Lytechinus pictus: one gene and its partner. The protein of the gene in region 2 purifies or fractionates together with the protein of the main gene of each other region. This does not show direct contact. Links are inferred from orthologs where the notes say so. Each region holds a gene or a part of one and is shown on either strand. Other genes may lie near its edges.

The links.
Region 1: the proteins of glycine--tRNA ligase-like (region 2) and isoleucine--tRNA ligase, cytoplasmic-like fractionate together in Homo sapiens (co-fractionation; 3 studies listed by BioGRID). This does not show direct contact. The link is inferred for Lytechinus pictus from reciprocal best matches to the Homo sapiens genes GARS1 and IARS1.

What each region holds. Positions count from the first base shown.
Region 1 is NC_087247.1:36,589,280-36,602,032, reverse strand, and holds the start of isoleucine--tRNA ligase, cytoplasmic-like, read left to right. Parts: upstream 1-6,319; 5' UTR 6,320-6,638; intron 6,639-12,753. UniProt on the Homo sapiens protein: Catalyzes the specific attachment of an amino acid to its cognate tRNA in a 2 step reaction: the amino acid (AA) is first activated by ATP to form AA-AMP and then transferred to the acceptor end of the tRNA.
Region 2 is NC_087257.1:6,196,086-6,209,286, reverse strand, and holds the start of glycine--tRNA ligase-like, read left to right. Parts: upstream 1-6,907; 5' UTR 6,908-6,928; coding exon 6,929-7,180; intron 7,181-13,201. UniProt on the Homo sapiens protein: Catalyzes the ATP-dependent ligation of glycine to the 3'-end of its cognate tRNA, via the formation of an aminoacyl-adenylate intermediate (Gly-AMP).

The DNA of each region.
Region 1 (12,753 bases), on a different chromosome or scaffold from region 2:
ACCTGGAGGGCCTCCTCCTCCCCCTAGGAGAAGAATGGGAGGATTTGGAGGCAGAGGATCAGGACCAGCTCCACCACCTGCTGCTGGAGGTGGATGAGGAAGGCGAGTAGCATCTTATTTAATGTTTTATAGTCAGAAATGTGATTAGGGCATGGAATGCTACCAATTGTTACGTTAGTGATTGTCTTTTTCTAAATTTGCCCTTAGCTAGTTAGGTGTAAGAATTTCAGGTGTTTCCAAATACTGCGACTGACATTGTTGCCAAATTACTTCATTGAACTCTTCATGTTGTCACTTTTATTGCCCTAGGCCTATCCCTCCATAAAATAATCAAATGAAATACATGTACACCAGTAATTGACACAGACAATCATTTTATTAATTTTGTTTTGTAATACCTGTACCTGGTCTCATCCAGGCCTGAACTCTTCATGTTGTCACTTTTATTGCCCTAGGCCTATCCCTCCATAAAATGATCAAATGAAATACATGTACACCAGTAATTGACACAGACAATCATTTTATTAATTTTGTTTTGTAATACCTGTACCTGGTCTCATCCAGGCCTGAACTCTTCATGTTGTCACTTTTATTGCCCTAGGCCTATCCCTCCATAAAATGATCTAATGAAATACATGTACACCAGTAATTGACACAGACAATCATTTTATTAATTTTGTTTTGTAATACCTGTACCTGGTCTCATCCAGGCCCTGGATGGACTGTTAGCTTACAAGTGATATGCATGTAGAAAAGCAGAAAAGAAAAGCAGTGGGTAAAATAAACTTCACCCAAATGAGACTTGGCAGTTGTTGCACACATTTATCTTGGTTTAAAGACCTTTTCCAAATATGTTGGCTACTTAGTTGCCATTATAATTGCTTGTTACATATGATCCTCAATGGCTTGTACCATCAATCAAGTAACCCGACCACTCGATAATAAGCCCACCTAAATTCCCTAAAGGTTGGGTTCAGTTCACCCAAAGCATTGTGAAAATTATTAGTCAAATTTATGAATGTTTGGGTCCAATTTACCCGATGTTTTATGAAAATTATAATCTGAATATTTAATGGGTCAGGTAAACTGGACCCAACCTTGCAGGAATTTAGGGGGCCTTTTTCTTGAATGGTTGGGTTACGTGATTGCCCGACCCGACACAATAACTCAATGTGATGGTACAAGCCATCATCAATGACCTTTGAACAGTGATATTTCTCATTACATGTTTTAACCGTGTTCAATGGACCTCTGTCATGCAGTTGAATTGAATTCCTCTTCATTTCTTTTCCTTTGCTCACAGGTAAATGCCTACTTCTTCTGCTAGTCACAAGGAGTAGGCCATAGGGTACCACCAGAAACATCAACAGATACAAATTTTTTCCAGATGTTCAGAGAGTCTTCCATTCCTCGATGACTTGTTTCTGCTGTTCTACTTTCTGAAGGTTATTATTGCTTTAGTGTGGGTTTTCCAAACGTTTTATTTCATTTTAAAGCCATTTCTAGATATTTAAATAACAAGGAACTTGAGTTTAGGCCAAGCATGAAAGGTGATAAGCACTTCTTCTCTGATGAATTATGGGGACTGTATTTTATGTAAAACTATGTAAGATAACAAGATATATTTTATGAAGCTTTTGATGTTAGTAATGATCCAGGGGATGATGTTTCATGAATATGCTGTGTCATAAAAAAGAAGATGTTAGTAATAATGATAAAAAAATGAGCTTTACATTTAAATTTGCATAACCATTGCATCCAAGTGCAATACTAGATATATTGGAATTGCTAGATGATAATAACTTTACTTTTTTATCATAAGATGGTTGTTTATGTTCTAGTATTGTTTATCGAAGTAATTTAATTTGTTGATATTTCTGAGTGGTCCACTATTGAATATCTTGCAGTATGTGTATCTGATAATGACGTTAAGCCAGTAAACTCACATTTCTGAGACTAGCTTGACTGAGAAGAAATGGATACATGATATATTATGTACAGTATATCATGATATTTTCTCCAAAGGATATCAATTTGAAGAAAATATCATGTTATTTTTATTTTTTCTTGAAGTATGTGGTTATTTGTGTACATGAATATCAAAGAAATGGGAACAAAACAAGTACAAATTGAATTACTGGTAGTTTGAAACTTTTGAATATCTAAATCCTAAATTATAGGTATATTTGTATGGGATATGGGCGAGGTCTGTGCCCAAGTTTCTCCCTTATATTTATTTTTTTTTTTATTGTAAGGCTTTGCATTAATTTTTGTTCATTCATACTTGTTATATTCATCATGCACTTCAATCTTGACTTAGATTTAATATTTTATTTTGTCATGTTTACTTGTGTTTACAAACAATACTCCCAAAGCAATTAATTGTATTGAGCTGCAGGACATGTATAGATTATTACTTCTCCCATTGTTCCATTTACATGTGAAGTTAACAATTTGTGTTTAATAGTGCCCTATTTTCATCTTAGCCATTGAGATGTTTCTTTGATAATACATTTTTATTTCATCTATTTCATCAATATAATGTAAAGAATGAAAAAGCCCATGATGAAATCATTTCTAATATTGCTGATTTATAAGTGTAATTATGATGATTAAGATTAGGAAGAGGAGGTGGAGGATGATGATGATTCTAATAAATATTTTCATAAATGTTACAGGTGTTTTATTTTTTATCACTTTATCAAAATTTTCATTAAGTTTACCATGTTACAATGTTTGTCAATGTGTTTATTAGATTTTATGAATTTTGCTTGATTAAATGTAATAACTTAATACTGTCCTCAATTTTGTGAAGGTTATTTCTAAGTCTTTTGTTCCTCTTTCCTTCAATGCTTATTTTTTGGCTTGCTTTGGGCTGATGATTATTTGATGATATTGTTCAAATGCATTGTTATATTGTACATACATGTGAATATTAAAACAGATATATTCATTCTGTAACTTATGAATAGAAATAGATATATCAATTATAATCAAGATGTGTCAGTTTATTTGTATGTGGTGTTTGTGCAGCAAAAATCTTTCCATACATAACAAAAGTGCTATCATTTTATCACGTTTAACTCTTGTGATATGTTTACAATCAATGTATTATAATGTAAAATAAATGAGGGAGGGAAAATTAAATGAATTTAAGAGAGAAAACGAACAGTAAGGATGAGAAAATTAGTATGTTTAGTGATGAACTAGAACAATGTCAGGAAATGGGATACTCTTTATTGAAAATGAGAATGAATCAATAACAAATTGGGTTACTTTCTTTATGTCAAGTGTACATTAGGGCGGCATAATATGACCATAATGTTGAAATATTGTGCCATTAAACATCAATGAACAATCATTGTGGTATTGGGTTCATGGGTCCATTCAATAATTTTAACTTAAAATCCGTTTCAGACGAGAAATTGCCTTGAAACGCTAAACATCACAGCCCTTATTCCCACTGCCCTCTGTATTAATCCAATCTAACCCACAAGATTCAAATGGAAAGGGTCAAAGAATACCATCCATAACCAATGTTTTATTCCTCGTCTCCATTCTGTTAGGCTTAGCTGAAAAAATGGTATGTTTGTGAACGTTACTTGACAATGTTTGACACCCATTGATTCATCGGGGATGACGATATATAACAAAATATTGTGCAATTCTAGTTTTCAATAAACCTGCTTTTATCCATTCTTGAATATAGCTCATCATCTTTAAATCTTTAATTTGAAATTGTTGACCTGCGAAAAAGGATTGGCATTCTGTTTTGAGTTCAATGTATAAACATTTAACAGGTTTTTCATGAAGTTAGATCGGCAGGAGACTTGTACATGGAATAGCAAGAGCAGTAATGTTGAGACTTGTGTCAAATGCTTGGAAGGTTGCCAATGCTGCAGCATAATTTACCCAGCCTGATGTTCGTAACATCTGTCTTATACAAACATTCAAATTGAGCCAATGATGGGGGGGGGGGGGGGGGGGGTCCACTGTATACATGAAGGCCTACGACAAACAATGAGTAAAGAGTGTAATTTTTGCCAGTAGAGATGTGAACTTACAACCCTTTTTGTCTCACCTGCATAGCAGAGTGAGACTATAGGCGCCGCTTTTCCGACGGCGGCGTCAACACCAAATCTTAAGTTTTTTAAATGACAGCATAACTTAGAAAGTATATGGACCTGGTTCATGAAACTTGGCCATAAGGTTAATCAAGTATTACTGAACATTCTGCCTGAGTTTCATGTCACATGATCAAGGTCAAAGGTCATTTAGGGTCAATGAACTTGCACCATGTTGGGGAATCAACATTGATCAAAATCTTAACCTAATGTTAAGTTTTTGAAATGTCATCATAACTTAGAAAATATATAGACCTAGTTCATGAAACTTAGACATAAGGTTAATCAAGTATTACTGAACATCCTGCATGAGTTTCACGTCACATGACTAAGGTCAAAGGTCATTTAGGGTCAATGAACTTTGGCCAAATCTGTTGAATTACCATCATAACTTTGAAAGTTTATGGTTCTGATTCATGAAACTTGGACATAATAGTAATCAAGTATCACTGAACATCCTGTGTGCATTTCAGGTCACATGACAAAGGTCAATGAACTTTGGCCGTAATGGGGGTATCTGTTGAATTACCATCATAACTTTGAAAGTTTATGGATCTGACTCATGAAACTTAGACATAAGAGTAATCAAGTATCACTGAACATCCTGTGCGAGTTTCAGGTCACATGACCAAGGTCAAAGGTCAATGGATATTGGCCATGTTGGGGGTATTCATTGAATTACCATCATAACTCTAAGTATATTGGTCTAGTTCATAAAACTTGGACATAAGAGTCTTCAAGTATCACTGAACATCTCATGCGAGTTTCAGGTCACATGACCAAACGTCATTTAAGGTCATTGAACTTCGGCCATTTTAGAGGTAATTATTAGATTGCTGTCATAACTTTCAAAGTTTATAGATATAGTGCATAAAATGTGGATATAGGGGTAATCAATTAAGTATCACTGACAAGTTTTAGGTCACATGATCAAGGTCCAATGTCAATGAACGTTGTATTGTATCATTATATGAATGGTGTTTTTTGTGAATAATTATTTAAATGGTGTTTTTCAAAGTCGGCACTGCTGCTATATTGAATCGCGTGATGCAGGTGAGACCGCCAGAGGCATTCCACTTGTTTTATATAAAAAAATCCGAATACAATTAAGGTATGTTTTTTAACTCATACTCTCTCGAAAATAATGCCACTATATAGTTGATTGCTCTTAGTTCATCTTTTCTGCTGTTTTGGTAATAAATTTCCATGAAAAGGGCCCGTTTCCATGGCTGGGATCACACTTTTACAGAACTGGGTGGTATAATAGTGACAAAAATGGTGATTCAACATGTGGTGGCATTTACATAGTTTCCAGCAAGAAAATTTGGCCCGGGAACTTGGCATGAGATCAGAACTTTGAATTAAGAAGAAAAATGAATTGATGCATTTCATCAAAATAAGGATTTGGGAAGTGGCAAAGGGCAGCTGCTACTTTTCAAGATGATGTAATAGAAGAAAAAAAAATGAGGGTAAGAGAAAATGAAGAATAAAAGTAAAACAAAAAAGTAGGGCCTATATGTTCACAATATCCCCATTCGAGGTGGGGAAGAAGGAAAAGTATGGAAACAAGAGGTAAATATGTGTTGTATAACTATACTATACCCATATGATATTATTCAGTAAAAAAAAACTTTCAGTTTTAGGTCGTCTGGATTTGAATAAAGTGATTTCTGATAAGTATGTTTGACTAAAACAGGGAGGGGGACCCTTGGGCATAATTGCCCCCCCGCCCCCGCCCCCGCCCCCTCCCAAAAAAAAAAAAAAAAAAAAAAAGTTGGCAGCAGCTCGAAACACCACGCTGCACAGAAACGTTGTTAGCCTAACAGACCACTATAGCAGTAAACGGTAAACCCAGTCCCATATTTCGGATTGTGCAGTAAAAACATCTATTTCAATGTGTGAGTAATGGGAGTAATGCATTGATGTAACATTACGCATTGCTGTCACATTGCCGGTTGTAACAGGGCCTCTGTTAGCGAATTGTTAGGGCTATGTTTCTGTGCGGTCAAAAGCAAATTTGGTCAGAGAAAAAATTTTTTCAAGATGTTGCCCGAAAGGCCATATCTCGCCCCCTCAAATGTCATACTTAAAAATATTAGAACCTAGCTTGTCGAAGCAAGCAGGGTTTTTCACATTTCATAAAAACCCGTGAATTCCACAACACAATACATGTATTTTGTAACATTGAAGCTACCATAGATTTAAAGGGCAAAACTGAAGTTACCAATAATGGTATCTGAAAGATGATGAAACCGTGTGAAAATTTGAAGAGAGTGAAAGGTTACTAGTAATTGATTGATCATTTTTTCGTCTGTATGATACTGTACGTTCGAACTATTTGCTGGGCATATGGATAAAAAAAATTAAGCACCGCATCAAGCTATAATTGTCCATTGTAAAATTCATAGTCTCTAACTTCAGACTTAACTTCTGAACGATATAGTAATATATACACACGTGTGTGCTGAGCTGAGTAACCCGAGTTGAACAGCGACCAGCTTTCGAGAGAAAGAGGTGAGTTATTTTCATCCTTATATGAGGTTAATGGAATTTAAAAAACAAATTGTGATTGGTAATATCGGGGTTTCTTGCAAAGATGTAATCAGTAGAAATTGCTTTGAAATGATTTGATAGGATAAAGCAAAGATACTACACTACAAGTGGAAGATCGGACACTTCGGCGATTTTTTGAAACGCTCCCAAACGCCCGAAAAATGCTCCTGAAGAAGGGCGCCCAATATAGCGTTGAGTAAGTAAACCTTCGCATATCGGCACGCGACTGTGTATAAAACATATTGGGGAAAATGAGAGAGGGGAGTTTGGAGAGGGCTCAAGGGTGGCGGATGGGAATATTTCCACGTGATTCTTCTCTTCCTCTTGGAAACAATAGCAATAATCCAATATTGATCTATTCAGAGCATGCGGCAAGATAGACAGGAATAACCGTCGTTTCTGGGGATTTATTCAACAATTTCTGACATTTTACTGTAATCCCCATTTACCGACGGTAGGGTGTACGTGTGGGCTCGCATGTGTTCTCATTCCCTCCCTTTTGTCAATTCACAGTCCAAAGTTTGATGTAATTTTACACATCGAATTTACAATCTAAGGATGTATAAACAACAAACTTAAAATTTAATATTTTAATATTTAAATACTTTAAACGATATAGGCCTAGATGAAAAAGGCATGAAAAATATACTTTACCGATGTTTAATTGGGTTGAACACGATAAAAATTGTCAAAATGGCAGCCAAACTATAAAATATTTACAAACGAACGTCAACAATCACGAATGTGATATCGATATTGCTTTCGATATTATACGATCTGCTCCATATGCGATCGAAACCGAAGATAAACGATACTAGTTATACTAGTACTAGTACTAGTTATAATCGCGACATATCGATTCGAGACATTAAGTTAATAACGATAATGACGTCATTCAAGATGGCAACTTGCAAGAAAAACCGTCAGGTCAGGTGAAAATGTCTTAGATGACAGATTTCTCAATCATCCAGAGGATTTTTTTCAATAACTCCGGCCCAAGGTATGCAATTACTTAAGTTATTTATATTTCCCTGATAATGGAAACCATGAAACTTTCAATTTTGCTTAAAAAACAGTTTTAAATCGCGATCTATAAAACGCTAGTTCACTATACGTTGGCTGTAGGTACGGGGCCCCATCCCCTTCAGTCTATGTATGGTGAGTGGAGCCAACGTAGTTTAGCGGAACAACCAAAATACAGAGACTGAAGCTTTTGGTCTAGCGGCAAGAGCTCCATATGATATGCACCCACTCATTCAGTGAACAAGGACAGGTTATGATATAACTTCTTCTTCTTCTTCTTATGTTGGTTTGAGTGGCAATTAGTCATATTTGACTATTGTCGCCATTGACTTTATCTATAAAATCTCACTTCTCATATTATTACCAATATGATGTATACATATATGAAATATTTTTCTTGTGCATCCTTCTATTATAAAAATGATGAATATAGTATACCGGTCTACAAAAGTTTGTCTTAACTCTTGTCAAAATGGCATATAAACAAATCTTCACCAAAAACAAACCGCTATCTTCAGCCCAGTTCCAACTAGTTGCGCTTGCCCTGCCCTTTCTAAGATGCAATCATACCGGTCAGCACGGTACATTGTGCCGATTTTTCGGACATAAAAATGCCTAGGTCACCCATGCATAGACGAGGGGGCGCTAGTGTGCCTGTGCTTACAGATGGGTTAAACATTAAAATAATTTGTTTCTTTTTTTTTTTAAACAACACCAACAACAACAAGGCGAAAACACTTGTGGGCTTTGTTAGTTATATGTGCAGAACATATCATTTTGTATATATTATATCATACATTATTATGTATATATATATATATATTCTTTTCACATTAGACTTGTACAAGCATATCCTTTCATATTTCTTATAAACAATACAATATAATAATATCACTCCTTACTAAAACTAACAAGGCTCCACATTAACTTTTTTTGGTGGTGGCCCGATATTGGTGGCCCGAAAAATATAAAGAAAAACATTAAAAATTAATAAAACAAACTTCTGAAATATTAATTCTGCAGCCACTACCACTAAGTTACTTTCACTTTATCATCTTGTATGTAAACCTTGTTTGCTGTTATTTTACTTTGCTAATTCATTGGTTTGTGGTAAAATATTAATTGTTTCTATCGTTGTAAAAATGAAATGATTGAAAGAGAATAAATGAATTTTATTGTTCGCAGGTTGTGTGGACTTTTTTTTTATCTCCGTATAGACACACACAGACACACTCATAATGGTAAAGTAAATAAATAGTGCATAGCAAACTCAGATAGATGTACAAAACAATGGTTTTTCATTTCTTCCTCTTTGAATCCTGAAACCTAGATTATGCAGGCCCCAAATCCAGTTTATTTCTGTTTTCTCTTTTGCAGCATATTATAGCAGGAGAAAATCACAGAAAAATATGCTGCAAAATTAGAACAATGCATAAAAGGGGGAAACAAATGAAAATAATTTTCAAAAAGTATATTACAAAAAGAAAACAAAAATAATAAAAGAAATAAGTGAAATAAAACAAAAGAAACAAAATGAAGAAAGAAAAAACAAAGAACAGGGAAAAAAAAAAATTAGAGAGAAAAAAAAAAATGAAAGAAAAATGAATTAAACAAAATTAATATAAACATGGGGAAAAGGGGAAAATTAAGAAGCCATTACGAATGTTTTTTAACAGCTGTGGCAACAGTCTATTCTGACTGGAATATAATTAAAAGCCAAGCAAATAATTTTCACTTACCTTCTGGGAATGGCACATTTCTATTTTTATATCCTTTAGTTTGTATTATTTAATTTTCAGTAGAAACATATTTATTTATCAGGCATATTCAATGGGAAGGGGTATAAATGGTTTAACCACTGTAAAAAAAAATGAAAGAAAAAAAATAAGAAAACGGCAAAAGTTATAAAACTTATATCTGGAAAAAAAGTGTGACTGTGGGAAAAGTCCTTCCCTATATTTGCCAAATTGTTGGAAAAATTCACATTTCATATCGATGAAATGCCTTCCCAAAGTATTTACTTTCTCAAGAGTGGTTTAAGAAGTCATTTATAAACAAGAAAGAAAGAAACTGTCTGTTCATTTTTGGCTAGAAAAGACACAGCTTCGAAAGAAACCAAGTATCAACATACATACAAATGCACATGTGGGACTGTGATGTACTTGCCTATGTGTTTTTATGTGTATTAATTCATTTGGAAATCTGTCTTTTGTAGTCAAAAGAGAGGTCATAATTCCTCTTCTTAATGCTTGCAAATTATCAGGGGCCGATTGCACGAAAGGGTCTTTCCAAGGACCGTCTTTCGTGTCGCCCATCTTTTATGATACGCCATGTGAAACGCATTTCAAATAAATTTTCTGCAAATACATTTTATTTGTCCGTTAAAATAAACAAAATATTTGTTTATAAAATGATCTGATATCGCATGAAATTACATAAAATTTGATTTAAAAGCAAGCTTACGAATTTTATTTGTTTATTATAAATTTCAGAAACACCCCGCTTATAGCGCATCATAAAAGATGGGCGACACGAAAGACGGTCTTTGGAAAGACCCTTTCGTGCAATCGGCCCCAGGGTACACCAAATTTTCGTAATATAGACTGTAGAATGTCATTTCATTGGTGTAAAATGTGACTTTGACTTAGATTTTCAAAGTTCTGTGGAAGATTTCTTAGCAGCAACATTTTTTATTGCAGCTCCCAGAGTCTGAATAGGCTGAGTTAGATCTAGAGCACAGCTGTATGCAGTGGCTTCATGCAAACTCACGCCAGCTGGCCGGCGCGGCTGGCTGGATAATAGCTACTGTATGCTATAGCTGTAGGCCTAATATGCAAACTCTGTGTGTGTGTATTTGTGTGTAGATCAACAAAAAGGGCGCATGACTAACTGGCTTGCAATTTGAACTGTAGAATGTTGATAAATGCGTGCAAAATCAGGAGAAAAATTGCGCTACTTTGAAAATTATTGGTTGCCTGATTCGGGCCACCAAAACTTAACATTTTATCAATAATGGTTGCCCGAAGTGAATTTCTGGTGGCCCCGGGCCACCGCTAATGTCGAGCCTTGGATATAAGTATAATAACCTTTTTCTCAGTACATTGTAGTTACATCTTCATGTGTGGCAATTTTGGCTTATTTTCTCTTTTTCTTTGGGACAAATGCCTTTTTTTTTCTTACACTGTCAGTTTCCAATACAGCTATTCATCATATAACTTGGCTCTTATGTAAATTTGATTCTTTGAATTATATTTTCTTAATTAAAAATAGAGATTGAAAAATGAAAATTTTCTTGCCATATTACTTTCCACCAATAGAGGGCGTACACAAAAATATGCCCAAAATTCAAGTTTTTGAGCGCTCTGGTGAATACAAAAATTATTTTCAAGTTACTAATACAAAATACATTGCAACTGTATGGAAATAAGTAATTTTGGTCACAAAAGTGATATTTTAATGATTTTTTAAAGTGTGTGCTATGTACAGCATTGGCATACCATAGTCCTACCTGTAGTAGTTCCCCCCAGGCAGGATGGTTGCAGTGAACAGGTGTAAGCTTGTAACCGATTTTGCAATCGGCAACCGATTCCATTCGATTTCACCACAATCGGCAATCACTTGCCGATCTTCGATCATGCCCCTTGAAGGAAAAAATCGAAAATAAAAAATCGGCGTAGATCTGGTTACAGTGCGTGATCGCTCAGAACATATTTCAAGATTGTTATTGAGGTGCTAGCTATTTAAAAGGTCGCATTATTCAGGGAGAAAGTCGCGGTATTATCTATGGCAATGTTTAAGGGGATAGATATCTTCTCTTCCAACTCATGGTGATAGCGGATGCCGCCGTGAACTTTGAAAGGTCGTATTACCGACGGAGCTCACTGCGTTACTCTCTTACATCGTTTATGATTATATACATTTTATTTTCAACCTCGTGGTGATAGCGGATGCCGCCGTGAACTTTGAAAGGTCGTATTACCGACGGAGCTCACTGCGCTACTCTCTTACCCCCTTTATAATGATATAAATCTTCTCTTCAACCTCGTGGTGATAGCGGACCCCGCCATTAACTTTTAAAGACTGTACTATTGACGGAGCTTATTGCGTTGCTCTCTTACATCGTTTATGATGATATTCATTTTATTTTCAACCTCGTGGTGATAGCGGAAGCCGCCGTGAACTTTGAAAGGTCGTATTACCGACGGAGCTCACTGCGCTACTCTCTTACATCGTTTATAATGATATAAATCTTCTCTTCAACCTCGTGGTGATAGCGGACCCCGCCAGAAACTTTTAAAGACTGTACTATTGACGGAGCTTATTGCGTTACTCTCTTACATCATTTATGATGATATTCATTTTATTTTCAACCTCGTGGTGATAGCAGAAGCCGCCGTGAACTTTGAAAGGTCGTATTACCGACGGAGCTCACTGCGCTACTCTCTTACATCGTTTATAATGATATAAATCTTCTCTTCAACCTCGTGGTGATAGCGGACCCCGCCATTAACTTTTAAAGACTGTACTATTGACGGAGCTTAAATTGCGTTGCTCTCTTACATCGTTTATGATGATATTCATTTTATTTTCAACCTCGTGGTGATAGCGGAAGCCGCCGTGAACTTTGAAAGGTCGTACTATTGACGGAGCTCATTGCATTACTCTCTTACATCGTTTATGATGATTTACATTTTATTTTCAACCTCGTGGTGATAGCGGACCCCGCCGTGAACTTTTAAAGATCGTGCTACTGACGGAGCTTATTGCATTACTCTCTTACATCGTTTATGATGATTTACATTTTATTTTCAACCTCGTGGTGATAGCGGACCCCGCCGTGAACTTTTAAAGATCGTGCTATTGACGGAGCTTATTGCGTTACTCTCTTACATCGTTTATGATGATATACATTTTATTTCCAACCTCGTGGTGATAGCGGATGCCGCCGTGAACTTTGAAAGGTCGTACTATTGACGGAGCTCATTGCGTTACTCTCTTACATCGTTTATGATGATTTACATTTTATTTTCAACCTCGTGGTGATAGCGGACCC
Region 2 (13,201 bases):
ACACACCAGGAAATGTCAGATACATGTATCTTGCGAGCCTTGTACATTGTAAATATGTTATCGCCAGTGGGCTATTAAAACATCAAATGACACTTAAGCACCCCTTTTTGTTTAGACGAGTTCTCTACAGGAATAAGGTGACTATTTTAAAGAAAATATGAGCTTTGCTTCCGTCAGCGTTTTTTTCTAAAATTCAACTTTTTAAAAGCTGCCCTCAGGTTATTAAACTTTTGCATTTACATGTAAAGATTTAAAAGCCCGGTGAAGAATATATTTATTTCGCCTGCAACTTCTCAATGGTGTGAGTTTTTCCTATAATGTTCATGTGATATTTTTTCATGATATTTTATACTTCTTACGGCTATCTCTACTGTAACATGATCTTCTCTGAAATATCACATGCAAAGCTGAATGAAAGTCTTCCCAAAATAGCTGTTCACCTCAGACACTAACACAAGTACATTATAGAGTGTGTATGTTAAAAATACATGATTGCTGAAGATTTCTATGTTGTAAAGGCCAAGCAATTGCTACCTTTCATATATTTTGTGTGAATCACATATTTCTTTCAGGAAATTTTCTATTCAGATTCAAAATATGAAATATGGGATCTTGCTGAAAATGTAAACCAACCAGGGTCCAGTTTCACAAAGACGTTATAATAACAAATGCCCAATTCTCCAACAAGTTTGCTATCAGCCAATCAGATTGAATGATTTCAGTAGTTTTTAACTTTTATTGAAAATGTGTTAATAAATCAATCTTTATGAAACTGGGCCCAGGACTTCATATGAATACTGCCCCATTCTACAACAAGTTTACTATCAGCCAATCAGATTTAAGGATTTCAGTAGCTTTTCACTGTTATTGAAAATGTGTTGATAAATCAAGCTTTATGAAACTGGACCCAGGACTTAAATGAAGACTCACTTAAGTACAACTTCCCTTAGAGTACAGCTTTCCTCCCAGTATTGTAACTAGAGAGTTGAAAATATCACCCGTACAAAGAGTGCATTATATTCTATGACCCATATTCTTAACCCTGATTTATTAAACTTAACCCTAACTAGGCCGGGCTTTTTTGGCTGTTCTGTGGCCGGGGGGAAAATTTTACAATACAACCTTGTAAATTACATCGCACACTACCAGCGTGCAAATTATTGCGGCGCTCGCGCGATCGGCGGCCGAGATCTCAGGGGGGGGTTGATATGTAAAATTTTCCAAAATAATGAGATTTCATTTTATATGAATTAATTATGCTAATTTATGCATAAATCATACTTTTTGCTCTAATTCACTAAATAAAGCTCCTAGAATGCTAATTTTTTGTAAAAATATTCTTTATAGCATTCTTAACAATGGCAATTGAAAAAAACTTCGGTTTGGAAATCAATTTCCTATGTATTTTATTGTTTTATGAATTTCTTATTTATTTCTTTGTTTTTCAGTGTTTTTTCAATGAAATTAGTTGGGGACTCTTCTAAGATCATAAAAAGCATAAAATACATTTAGACCAGCAAAACTAAAAATAATCATACATTTATGATTTTTGGTTGAAAACACAATTTACATTGACTTTGTACACGAAATCACGTTTTTGAGCAATTTTTGGTCTGACATGCACCTACATAACGTTGCGTAATTTCGTACCCGGGTGACGCAAAATTGGTCTCAAAAGTTGCGCAAGACTTGAAAGTAAAAAGTCAGTGAGCAGCGCGGCGAAAATATCGCGCCACTCGTTGAGGGGGGGCCTCGGAGGCCCCCCCCCCCCCCCCCCCCCCCCCGGCCTAGATAGGGTTAAACCATGGTCAAAGCCTAGTGTACAATTATGGGAAGCTATGAGTGTAAAAAAAATATTTAAAATTTAGTGCTTAATGTGTTTACTAGGATACTTCCCATGGTTTCATGATGAAAAAGTCTATTGTAGTTATCATTTCAAGAAATCTTCTTTTTTTTTCAATTTAAATGCCAAATGTGATGATATATTGATCGTCTGATAATAGAAATTGTCACATTTGGCCTTCCATAGCTAAACCAGAGATTTAACATTAGACTGCGGTTTAAGTTAACCCAGAGTTCAGAATATGGGCTTATGCCTATCAATTTATATTTCTTTTTTTTTTTTTTGGGGGGGGGAATGAGTTTATGAATGGATAAGGGTAAAAAAATACATAACTGTTATGCAAGGTTCACTGGGAGAACAGTTCATAAGAGCTGAAGTGGCTACCCTTAGAAAATAGGACATTATTGTGATTGTTATATAGTTTCTAGTTCTGTTAATGTATGTGTACATGTCTTTTACATGGGGAAGTTTTATACTTTCAGTTGACCACTGTATACCATAACCTGGCACACACAAGAAAGGATAACGGAATGTTCTCATATTGAGATTCATTGTAAAATTCTACATTCACCTTTTCCAATTTAATAAAGGACAATCCACCCCAACAAAAAGTTGACTTGAAAAAAAGGAGAAAAATCCAACAAATTTCATCAAGGGATGTGCAATGAGAGTCAATCATGTCAGTCAATGTTTCTATTTTATTATATGAAATATAGAGTATGTCATTTTTGCAGATAGAAAAAGTAAATATCTTCATGAATCACATTAGGGATCCCACTTATTCAAGGAATCAAATCCTGTTTCACATTATGAGGAGAATTTATATTTCATGTAAAAAACAAAAGAAAGAGTAGTTTTCCTCATTTACACATTGACCATGATGTGCATATAAATGTTTTGCGAAATAAAAGCAAACCTTTAACTTATACCAGATTTTGATGAAATTTCAGGGAGTTTGATTTTTCTCTTTCTATTCAAATCATGTTCTTGCTGGGGTGGATATTCCCTGTACTTAAAGGAGAATGAAACTCTTGGAGCAAGTTAGCTTTTGTGAAAGCAGAAAAATAAAAAAATAAGATCAACAAAAGTTTGAGTAAAATAGGACGAGCAATAAAAGAGTTATGAGCATTTGAATGTCGAGATCACTAATGCTATGGAGATCCTCCCATTGGCAATGCGACCAAGATCTGTGATGTCACACACGTACAACTCTCCCATTTTGACACTGAAAATATACCCCAAAACATTTCTTTTTGCTCATTCTAATCATATGACAAACGATTCATCAATGATATAATGTTGTGAAACCTCTGTACTTGTCATCTCATAAAGAGAACACCTCACCTTGTGATAGACTCTATAAAAGTGAGAATATAAGTGAAATAAGTACTAAAGTAATGAGGGAGTTGTACGTGTGTGATATCACAGATCTTGGTCGCATTGCCGATGGGAGGATCTACATGGCACTAGTGATCTCAATATTCAAATGCTCATAATTTTCTTATTATTCATTCAATCTTCCTCAAACTTTCAACAATGTGTTCCTTTGATTTTTCTCTTTGATATGGATTCAGCTGGTTTCAAGGGTTTCATTCTCCTTTAAGGTGTAAAAAAAGTTAATCTAAGAATAATCTGTAATAAATGGACATTATAGATGATAATTTCATCTAGGCTGTTGTAAAACATCAATTGTTACTGAAAGGGAAAAGCGACCTTATCAAAATATAAAATGCTGCAAACACATGGATTTTTAATTTTATTTTTAGAGGAGAAAAGGTATCACAAATAAGCCCTGTTTCATAGAACCTTTTCTCAATTCCAAACACAAGAGAATCTAGCAATTTTGCTCTTGACCAATCGAATTGATTCCTTTTCAGTAGCTTAAAACAGCAGCCTGAAACTACCTGTAATAAAGTGTTTATTGAAATGGAGCTCAACAAATGTAAGAGGCAAGATGATATTTCCTTATCCCCCCCCCCCTTCAAATTGCAGTTCATGTCTCTATGTTAACACCAACTATTCAACAATTTTTTTTATGCTGACAGCATGAGGAATTATCTTCATGTTATTGAAAGTGTTGATTCCCAATTAGTTAAATTATGTAAAGCAAGTTGAACATCATCAGTTGAGATTAAAAACTTGCTATGTTTTCTTATTGTTGACTTGAGTTAAGGATTTTATAAAACTGTTGTATGTAAATAAATTATGCACATACTGAAGAAAAAGGTTTTATTAGAAAAAAAGTGGATATGGAATTGAAAAAAAAAGTGTACACATCTGTATGTAAACTGTGATAAAGTGTACAATATGTATATATATAGCATCTCCAGATTAAGAGCATTTTGTACTTGTGGTACACAGAGATATTAAAATCAAGTTTATGGTGATGATCACAGATTTCATTTTTATTTTATTTTTTGTCTCACCTGCATAGCAGAGTGAGACTATAGGCGCCGCTTTTCCGACGGCGGCGGCGGCGTCAACACCAAATCTTAACCTGAGGTTAAGTTTTTGAAATGACAGCATAACTTAGAAAGTATATGGACCTAGTTCATGAAACTTGGCCATAAGGTTAATCAAGTATTACTGAACATCCTGCCTGAGTTTCATGTCACATGACCAAGGTCAAAGGTCATTTAGGGTCAATGAGCTTAGACCATGTTGGGGGAATCAACATCAAAATCTTAACCTAAGGTTAAGTTTTTGAAATGTCATCATAACTTAGAAAATATATGGACCTAGTTCATGAAACTTATACATAAGGTTAATCAAGTATCACTGAACATCCTGCATGAGTTTCACGTCACATGACCAAGGTCAAAGGTCATTTAGGGTCAATGAACTTTGGCCGAATTGGGGGTATCTGTCGAATTACCATCATAACTTTGAAAGTTTATGGATCTGATTCATGAAACTTGGACATAATAGTAATCAAGTATTACTGAACATCCTGTGCAAGTTTCAGGTCACATGATCAAGGTCAAAGGTCATTTAGGGTCAATGAACTTTGGCCAAATTGGGGTATTTGTTGAATTACAGCCATAAATTTGAAAGTGTGTTGGTCTAGTTCATAAAACTTGGACATAATAGTAATCAAGTATCACTGAACATCCTGTGCGAGTTTCAGGTCACATGATCAAGGTCAAAGGTCATGTAAGGTCAAAGAACTTTGGCCACGTTGGGGGTATTTGTTGAATTGCCATCATATCTCTATAAGTGTATTGGTCTAGTTCATAAAACGTGGAAATAAGAGTAACCAAGTATCACTGAACATCTTGTGCGAGTTATAGTAGTTTTCAAAATCAGCACTGCTGCTATATTGAATCGCGTGATGCAGGTGAGACGGCCAGAGGCATTCCACTTGTTTCTCAAGAGAGTTTTCACATTTTGAGCTGTGAGTAACATGATATAATCTACTGTTTGGTATATCACCTTTATTTATTATAGGAGGGATGGGGCAAGCCAATGTTTGCACACTTAATGCCCCCCCCCCCCCCGCATCCCTTGATTATAGTGCTTATACCTCAGTCACATTTGCTTTACGGTGGCCGTACAGCAAGTAAAAAAACGGTAACATTTTTGTTCCAGCTACATATAGTTGGTTTGAATAAAAATAAATAGAACGGCTGTTTTCGACTTAATTGTCATACGGCCGCCGTAGGGGATATGTGACTGTAGCACTATCAATATGTCAAATTTTGGCTCAATCGAATAGATCTGTGGTCCAAAGACATGCGACTTCTTTTACTTCATGTACTCCCTCCATCTCTCCGAAACCTCTCTTCTCTTGATGACCTCTTCAAAAAACATCTCAAAACACACTTATATAACAATAAACCTTAACTTGTCTTATGCCATCAACAACGCTTTGTATCCTCTTTAAAAAGCGCCATATAAATCCAATTATTATGGGCCCAGCTAATAGAGAAATGAAGGATTATCGAGGGAAATTGTGGTAGCAGGTGCACTAGGGACCAAAAAACTTGATGAGAGAGATTGAATATGAAGGGAGAAAGAAGTGGGGTAATTAGACTTTAAATAGAGAGAGGGGAGAAGAAAGGAGGTGGATTGTGGGAAGAAGGGAACAGACACAAAGGGGTTGGGTAAAGAATGAGACAGAGAGGAAGTTTAGTAGAAAGGGATCTAGGTGGTGAAGGACTATAGTGGGATGGGTATATAGAGCTAGATAAATAGAGAAGGGGGTGGGTGATGTAGAAAGAGAGATTGTAGTGAAAAAGTGGACTGATTGATCTATAGGTAAATGGTGTAGAGAGGTAACCCGGGATAGAAAGGGAGAGAGATCGGGTATTGGCGGGAGAGTAATCGGCGGAAGGAAATAAGATGGAGAGAGAATTACAAGAAGAGTTGGTTGAGAGGGATGAAAAACAAAAAGGAAACAAACTAAAACATGGGAAGCTCGGATAATAGGAACTATATGAGAAGAGACAATTATTTCTATTCTAGGCCCTGTTATTTTTTTAAAACATTTTGACTAAACGATATTTAGAAAGAGGAATAGGGTTTTGCAAGATTTTTCAGGATTGACACAATTAACAGATCGAAGAAGGGGAGAAAATGGTTTTTGTCCACTAATTCATTTCAGAATTTGTCCCCAGTCTCGCAAGCTCGATGTTAGACAGGAATGACCGGCATGCCGGAATGACCATCATTTCTGTGGATTTATTTAACAATTTCTGACATTTTACCATCCAATATGCAAGCTTTTTGTCTAGCCTAGCGCTCGTTTCGCTAGCTCGTACAAACAGTAGAGGTACAATGATATGTACGAAGTGTCATCACTCTTTCGTTTGATAGTTTATAAGTTCAGACCCCAGTATAGTACTTTCAAGCGATCTCCCAATCGTCTGGAGCAAAACACAGTGTTCTTATATTTATTTCCTTCGTAAAATGATTTTAAAGTTAAAATAAAATGTCACGTTTGATATTGTAGTTGTTTAGAAGCTTTTTTCTAAGAATTGATTTTTACTTCTGACATTACACCGTCTGCGAATTCACTCTAAATATTCTCACGGTCAAAGGTCAATTTAAATCTCCCATTGATGATGTCCATGTGGCATACCGGTGATGCTGAGTTGCGGCTTCCGTCGTTTGTTTCCTTTGGCGAGTTTTTCGCGAGGTTTCTCCCCAAAACACTTTGAATTGTGTGCTGCAAGTTGCTATCCCTCTTTGAGTAGTAGGAACTCATCTAGGAAGGCAGAATCTCTTGTTGATCGCCTAAAAGACATAAAGAAATCAGCTGCTATGGCCGGTCAAGTGGACGGGGAGGTAGACATCGAAACTGTGCTCGCGCCCCTGCGAGCCTCCGTGAAAGAGCAGGTACGAATCGCTCTCTCCTCTCACTCTCACAGTGCCCAACGCAACGACACGGCAACAGTGCAGTGCAGTGTAGAGGAGAGACGGGGGTGGTATTCTGAGATCTATTTTATCTCAGATAAAATTAAATATGTATCTCTGTTAAATCAGTGAGATAAATTGCTCTCAATGCTTAAAATCTCTTCAAATTTAATTGGTATTCTGAGAACCATTTTTAATTTTTATATCTTTTTCTTTAATAATAATCTTTTTCTTTAATAATTAATAGAAATAATTAGAATAGACTTCACTAGTAGTAATGAGAGTGAGTAAGACAAGGTCCTAACATTAACTTTTTACATGTAGTTTGGTTCACTCACATGTATTGCGAGGTTAGTAGATTAGTATACTATTACTAACCTCGCAGTCGCACCATGAACCGCGTCTGGCAGTGGATTTCTAACTAGTAGTGGGTCGCGCGTGCTGGGATCTCACTTCTTGGGTCCACAACACACGACTTCTATGGTAGGTACGCCACTGATAATTCAAATCTTCATCCAAATCTGTTGAAACTTACCTCAACATAAAAAAAATGTGTCACCCATTACGATGATGCATTGATTAAGACATATGATGAAGAATAACTCAAGTTATGATTTTTTAAAGAAATGATTTCTAAGTATTATCCATTCCGAACGAATTGTCGACCATCGAGTATCAATCACCACCGCGCATGCGCATTCGGGGATTGCCAATTCGGGGCGGAGATTTTACATCGCGCATAAACGCTTCTCGCGGCATGGTGACGAAGCGTAAGTGCGCATCATTTGTGAATGAGATTGGTCATTTTCGCGGCGCTCATAAATATGCATGTGCGTTCATGATACGCATATATCGGAGTATTTTGTTGTTTTGCAAACAGTGTGCAAGACGATTGATTTGAGACTTGAAGTTAATTTCACATGTTTTAACTAGATTATCTGAATTACAGTGCACAATTACGACATGGAAGACCATTGGGATGGATTTCAAATATAATATGTAAGTGAGTTGATAACATTTGGTTTTGCATCTTTCTTTTTTCAAGTTGTTTTGAGATCGAGAATTTTTTCTTTCATTTTAATCATCATTTTTTGTTTCTTGTCTGTCCACCGCAATTTTTTGTAGTCCTATGTTAAATGTTCCCCTTCAGTACACTGATGCCTGAAAGTATGAATCCGAAAAATGCACCCCCCCCCCCCGCGTTCATCCTTTCTCTCGATCCCTAACAATAACATTAAAAAGGATAATAACATAAGCTGATACTAGATAGTTTTGACAAGTTATTAAAGTCGTTTTTTTTTTTTTTTGGAGAGGCGGGGTGGGGGGGGGGGTGATGTAATTCCCATTCCCCCCCTCTCATTTTTTGTTTTTATTCGTTACTTGATATCCTTGCCTTTACGTGATTTCCTATGCATGCTCAATCCTTGAAACTTTACATAATTTTAAAATATTTTTACAGATCCATAGTACACCATACAGAACTTTTTTTTAAAGGAGCTAGTCTCAAGTTTGCCTCTCTGTTTTGTTTCCTTTTCTGTGAGTTCCTTTCTTCTCATTTTGTTCCTCTCCTGTACTAACTTTACAACCATTTGCTTTTGTTTTTGCTCCTCTAGCCTCACTTTTTTCCCAATTTCATTGCATTCATTATTTTGTTTTCTCTTTCATCTACAGGAAATTTTTGTAGCCAGGAGGCTGTATCATTTGATGAAAACATCAGTTTGGATTCGACCTTACCACAGAAATGTTAGGGGCCCTATGAAGCATTGCATCCGCTCTGCCAAACTGCCTCTCACCCGAGATATTTGTAGAACTACACGATGCACTTTCTGCAGCAAGATCCAGCTAAAGTTGTGATGAACTAGCATATAATAGATTTCTTATATTCATAACATTCATCATTCCAGTTCTTAATTGATATTTCAAAAGTTTAATAAATCACTTTACATGCATTTAATATATTTCTTATATTCATATCATTCATCATTCCAGTTCTTAATTGATATTTCAAAAGTTTAATAAATCACTTTACATGCATCATATTGAGCTGTACACTGAATCTTGCCTCATAAGATCATTTGGCTTCAGCTCTACATAATACCCCCCCCCCAGCAATAAAAAATGAAAATCTAATAAAACAATAGAGCTGCAGGCAGTAGCGTACCTAGGATTTTCCACAGGGGGGGGGGGGCAAAATCGTCCGCCCAAAAATTTGACAAGCAAAAAAGTCTTCAACCACAAATAAAGGATTTCGTACTTTCGGTCTTAAACTTCAAAGGAGGGGGCCACCGGTGGCTCATCAGGGGGGGAGGGCAGGGATACGTCCCTTGCATGGGTTGTGACTCGTCGGGGGGGCAGTCTGCCCCCCCCCCCATAGGTACGCTAGTGGCTGCAGGTCCACCCACCCATCTGTATCAACCATTACCTCCAATGAGAATACCTAATTTTAAATTTTATTGAGCAACTTCATTAATACTGTTAAAATATCCAATTTATATTTTTATGTGGAGTTAATTAATGTAACCAATGCCAACAAGGAAAAAAAATAAAATGAATACTTTCATGTGTCAGTGTGGATTTGTCATTTCTTTTTTAAATTTATTTTAATATTCAGATCTGTATGTGTATCCTTTTTCAACACTATGTTCCTTCTCTTCTCTACTGCATGTGCCAAATTGTTTGTTTTTTTGCTCATACTTCTTAAATAAATCATGAAAAAATTACATAAAGTCTAAATAAAAATATTTAAACAGACAACCAAGAAAAAAAGTGTTAGTTTGGGGTGATAGAAAATGTTAGAAGACAGTTGGGGGGGGGGTGAGATAAATCAATTGTTTCTTTCTTGTCAATTTAAAAGCTGCAATTCACATTTGTGAATAATTAAGTAGTTGGTAGAACAATTCCTGCTTAAAGTTGCAGTCTGAATGGAATGCAGGATCGCCAAGAACAAAGCCCAGAGGCAGAGGTGGGGTTGGTTTTTTTAAGGCGGCATTTCCATCACACTTTCTTGGAACCACAGATATTCGACGGCTCATGCAGCCCAAGTCTGTTCATTGTTGGGCCCCTCGACTTCAGATCAGTAAGTATTGCCATGCTCAAATGGAGGTAAGAAATTAATCTGAATGAAAATAAAAATATGAAAACAAAAGAAAATTAAAATGATAATGAATTAAATTAGATCTAGGCCATTCATTTTTAAAATAATAAAAAATTTAAGTTTGATTAGGCCAAAAGAAATCATGTTACATGAATTTTCAACAGAATATAATCATCAAATAATAAATCAAGACTAAAGTAAATTACCTAAAGTAAACTAAAGGCTAAAATTAGGTTCGAGAAGATTCAGAAAGTTGTTGCGTCATTTGCCATTTTTTTTCAATATTTTATTCAATCAAAATGAATGTGTGTCAGTGTGGGATGTATTTCTGATTTCTACATTTGTGTCTGGTTTTCAATTCCTAATTTATAAAAAAGAAAAAGTTTTTTTAAATCAAAGAAATACCAGACATATCACGGTAGACGGTCTGCTACACAAATTCCAATGCGCAGGACTACACACCGCGGGCAACCAAAAACCCTAGCAGCCGCCATAAATTAGCCCGCGAAACGCGTCGCCAAAATTCCCACGAAAATCCCACGAAACAAATAGCAAGGGCGTTTAACATTCGTCCGTGGCAAATGGTGGCAAGAAATGCTGCCATGAATGAGGTAAGAAACCCGGGGGGGCCACTTCCATTCACGAGTGGATACCATGCGCGACCACGGGGTCTCGAAAAGCACCCTAAACACGTATTTTCCATGTTCTGAAAATGCACCCCTTAACAAGTATTGGCGTGTGAAACCCTACCCTTAACAAGTATTGGTAACAAAATGATACTCTTGGCAAATGTTCCCTGAAATGAACCCCTAAACAAGTACAGGAATGTTTTATTGTTACGGGTCCTTCGGTCGTCGACTTTACCTTATTTGGTTTAGTACGACCCCACCTTCTACACCTCGCGCAAATCGGACTCTAAACACGAAGTGTTGGGGCAAAAAGGACATCCTTTATAAAACATTTAATTTTGTTTTATCATCCCCGCGAATTCGACCCTAAACACGTAATTTTCCTAGCGAAATAGATACCCTTTTTTCATTATTTTTGTGTTTTTGACACCCTTATCACGTTACGTACGTAACGTGCCCTATCGTGAAAAAGACATCCTTTTTACGTGTTTTTTTGGTCGCGCATGGTATCCACTCGTCAATGTAAGTGGCCCCCCCGGGGTAAGAAATGAAAGCTTACGACTTCAATTTTCGAGTAGCATATGTATTTTTAGCGTAATATGTCTGATAATTCCATGAAAATAACATATAATGATGATTTGATGCATAAACTGTACTTACAGACTGTTTTAGTGCAATTTTTGTTCCGATCTCGACGATCTCGACCCTCCGTCGCAAGAGCTTACCGTGCAGTATAGCTGAATGCATTGGGAAGATGATGTCATCGTTTTCATTCCCATTGATATACGTTTACCATCCTAGACAGGAGACTCAAGTAGGGCTTGCCGTTATTGCTCGCACCGGCTCCCGAAGCAGCTTGTCGCCATTTTCGTACGCGAAAATGATGACGCGAAAATCGCGCCCTCTCGCGCTAGAGTAGCGTACCTATCTATGGCTTGATTTTTCTGTGCGCGGTGGCATGTAATGAACCCTTGGGTGGTTTGGTTACCATGTAAATTTGTGCACATTCAAAAATTATCATGCAGTTGATTTGTAATAAAAAAATTCTCACAGGTCACACAAAATCAACTAAAATAAATACCAAGCTAAAGTAAAGGCCAAAATCGCTCAACAAAGACGGAATTATAAAGTAGGTCAAGCTAGGGTTTCGCTAGTATCGCAATCTCAAAATTCTTTGGCGATCGACTAATGTGCGCTCAGCTTAAAACTGTCATAAAAAAGTGTGACCTTACGCACGAGTCAATAGTTATGCAAAGCTTAAAAAAATCAAGTCACGTCAAGCAAACAAGGGTAAAATTGTATCAGATGGAGGTTAAAAAACAATAAAATCGGTTGGTAGATGACATTTAACTTACTTTTTTTAGACCTCTGCTTGCAAACTGGCAATTTCTTAATGCTTGCTGTGAACTTCGGTTATTTCAGAACGTACCCAAAAGGTATTTCACAAGTGCAGATTTTATCTTTAACTTCAAAGTTACATGTACTGAGTAAAATTTGGGTCGCTTTTCCTGTTAGTGATATCATTTTTTCAAGATATTGATTAAATCCTAGCCATGACGTGTTTTCCTTCAGCAAGAAATGTATCCACACAGTGCTGCGCGCGACCCAGGTGAGGTGAATGGGTACCCGGCAGGATTATTTCCTTGAACGCACGGAGCGCCGGTGATGGTAGCTCGAGCTAAAGCCGGGGTAATAATAGCAGCGCTTTGTATCCTCAGGCAAAAAAGGCCTTTTTAAATACAGCTATTATTATTATTATTATATTAATATAAACTAAGATAAATTGTGAATTAAGGTCACAACACCATACTCGTTCCATTCATTCAATCAAAATCCTTCATGCCAAGAGGTGTGGTATAACTTTCATAGGAGTGAAATTGCGTCAGTTTATTCAATTCAAATGCGTTTGTACTATATGCTAAACAAGTCTTTACAGGGATTCCTTTGAAACAATGAACAATCTTTTTAAAATCTTGTTTTAGAAGTTGATATCGCATCAGACATAGACAATATGAAGAAAGGTCTAATGGAAATAATTCCTCATTCTATAGGAATAATGTTCAGGTATCACTCTCAATCAGACATCATTTACCTTTATTTTTGTTAAGAAGCATATATGGAGCTAATTCACCTAGAAATATTGCTAGAATGGGCGTAACAGAGATAAAATAGCCCCATCCTATTTTACGTTTACTTCATCATATTATCTTTTCTTCAAAGTATCATTGACGCAAGCCCATCATTTGTGTTGCAATGGTTAGCGATATATCTACGCAAGCA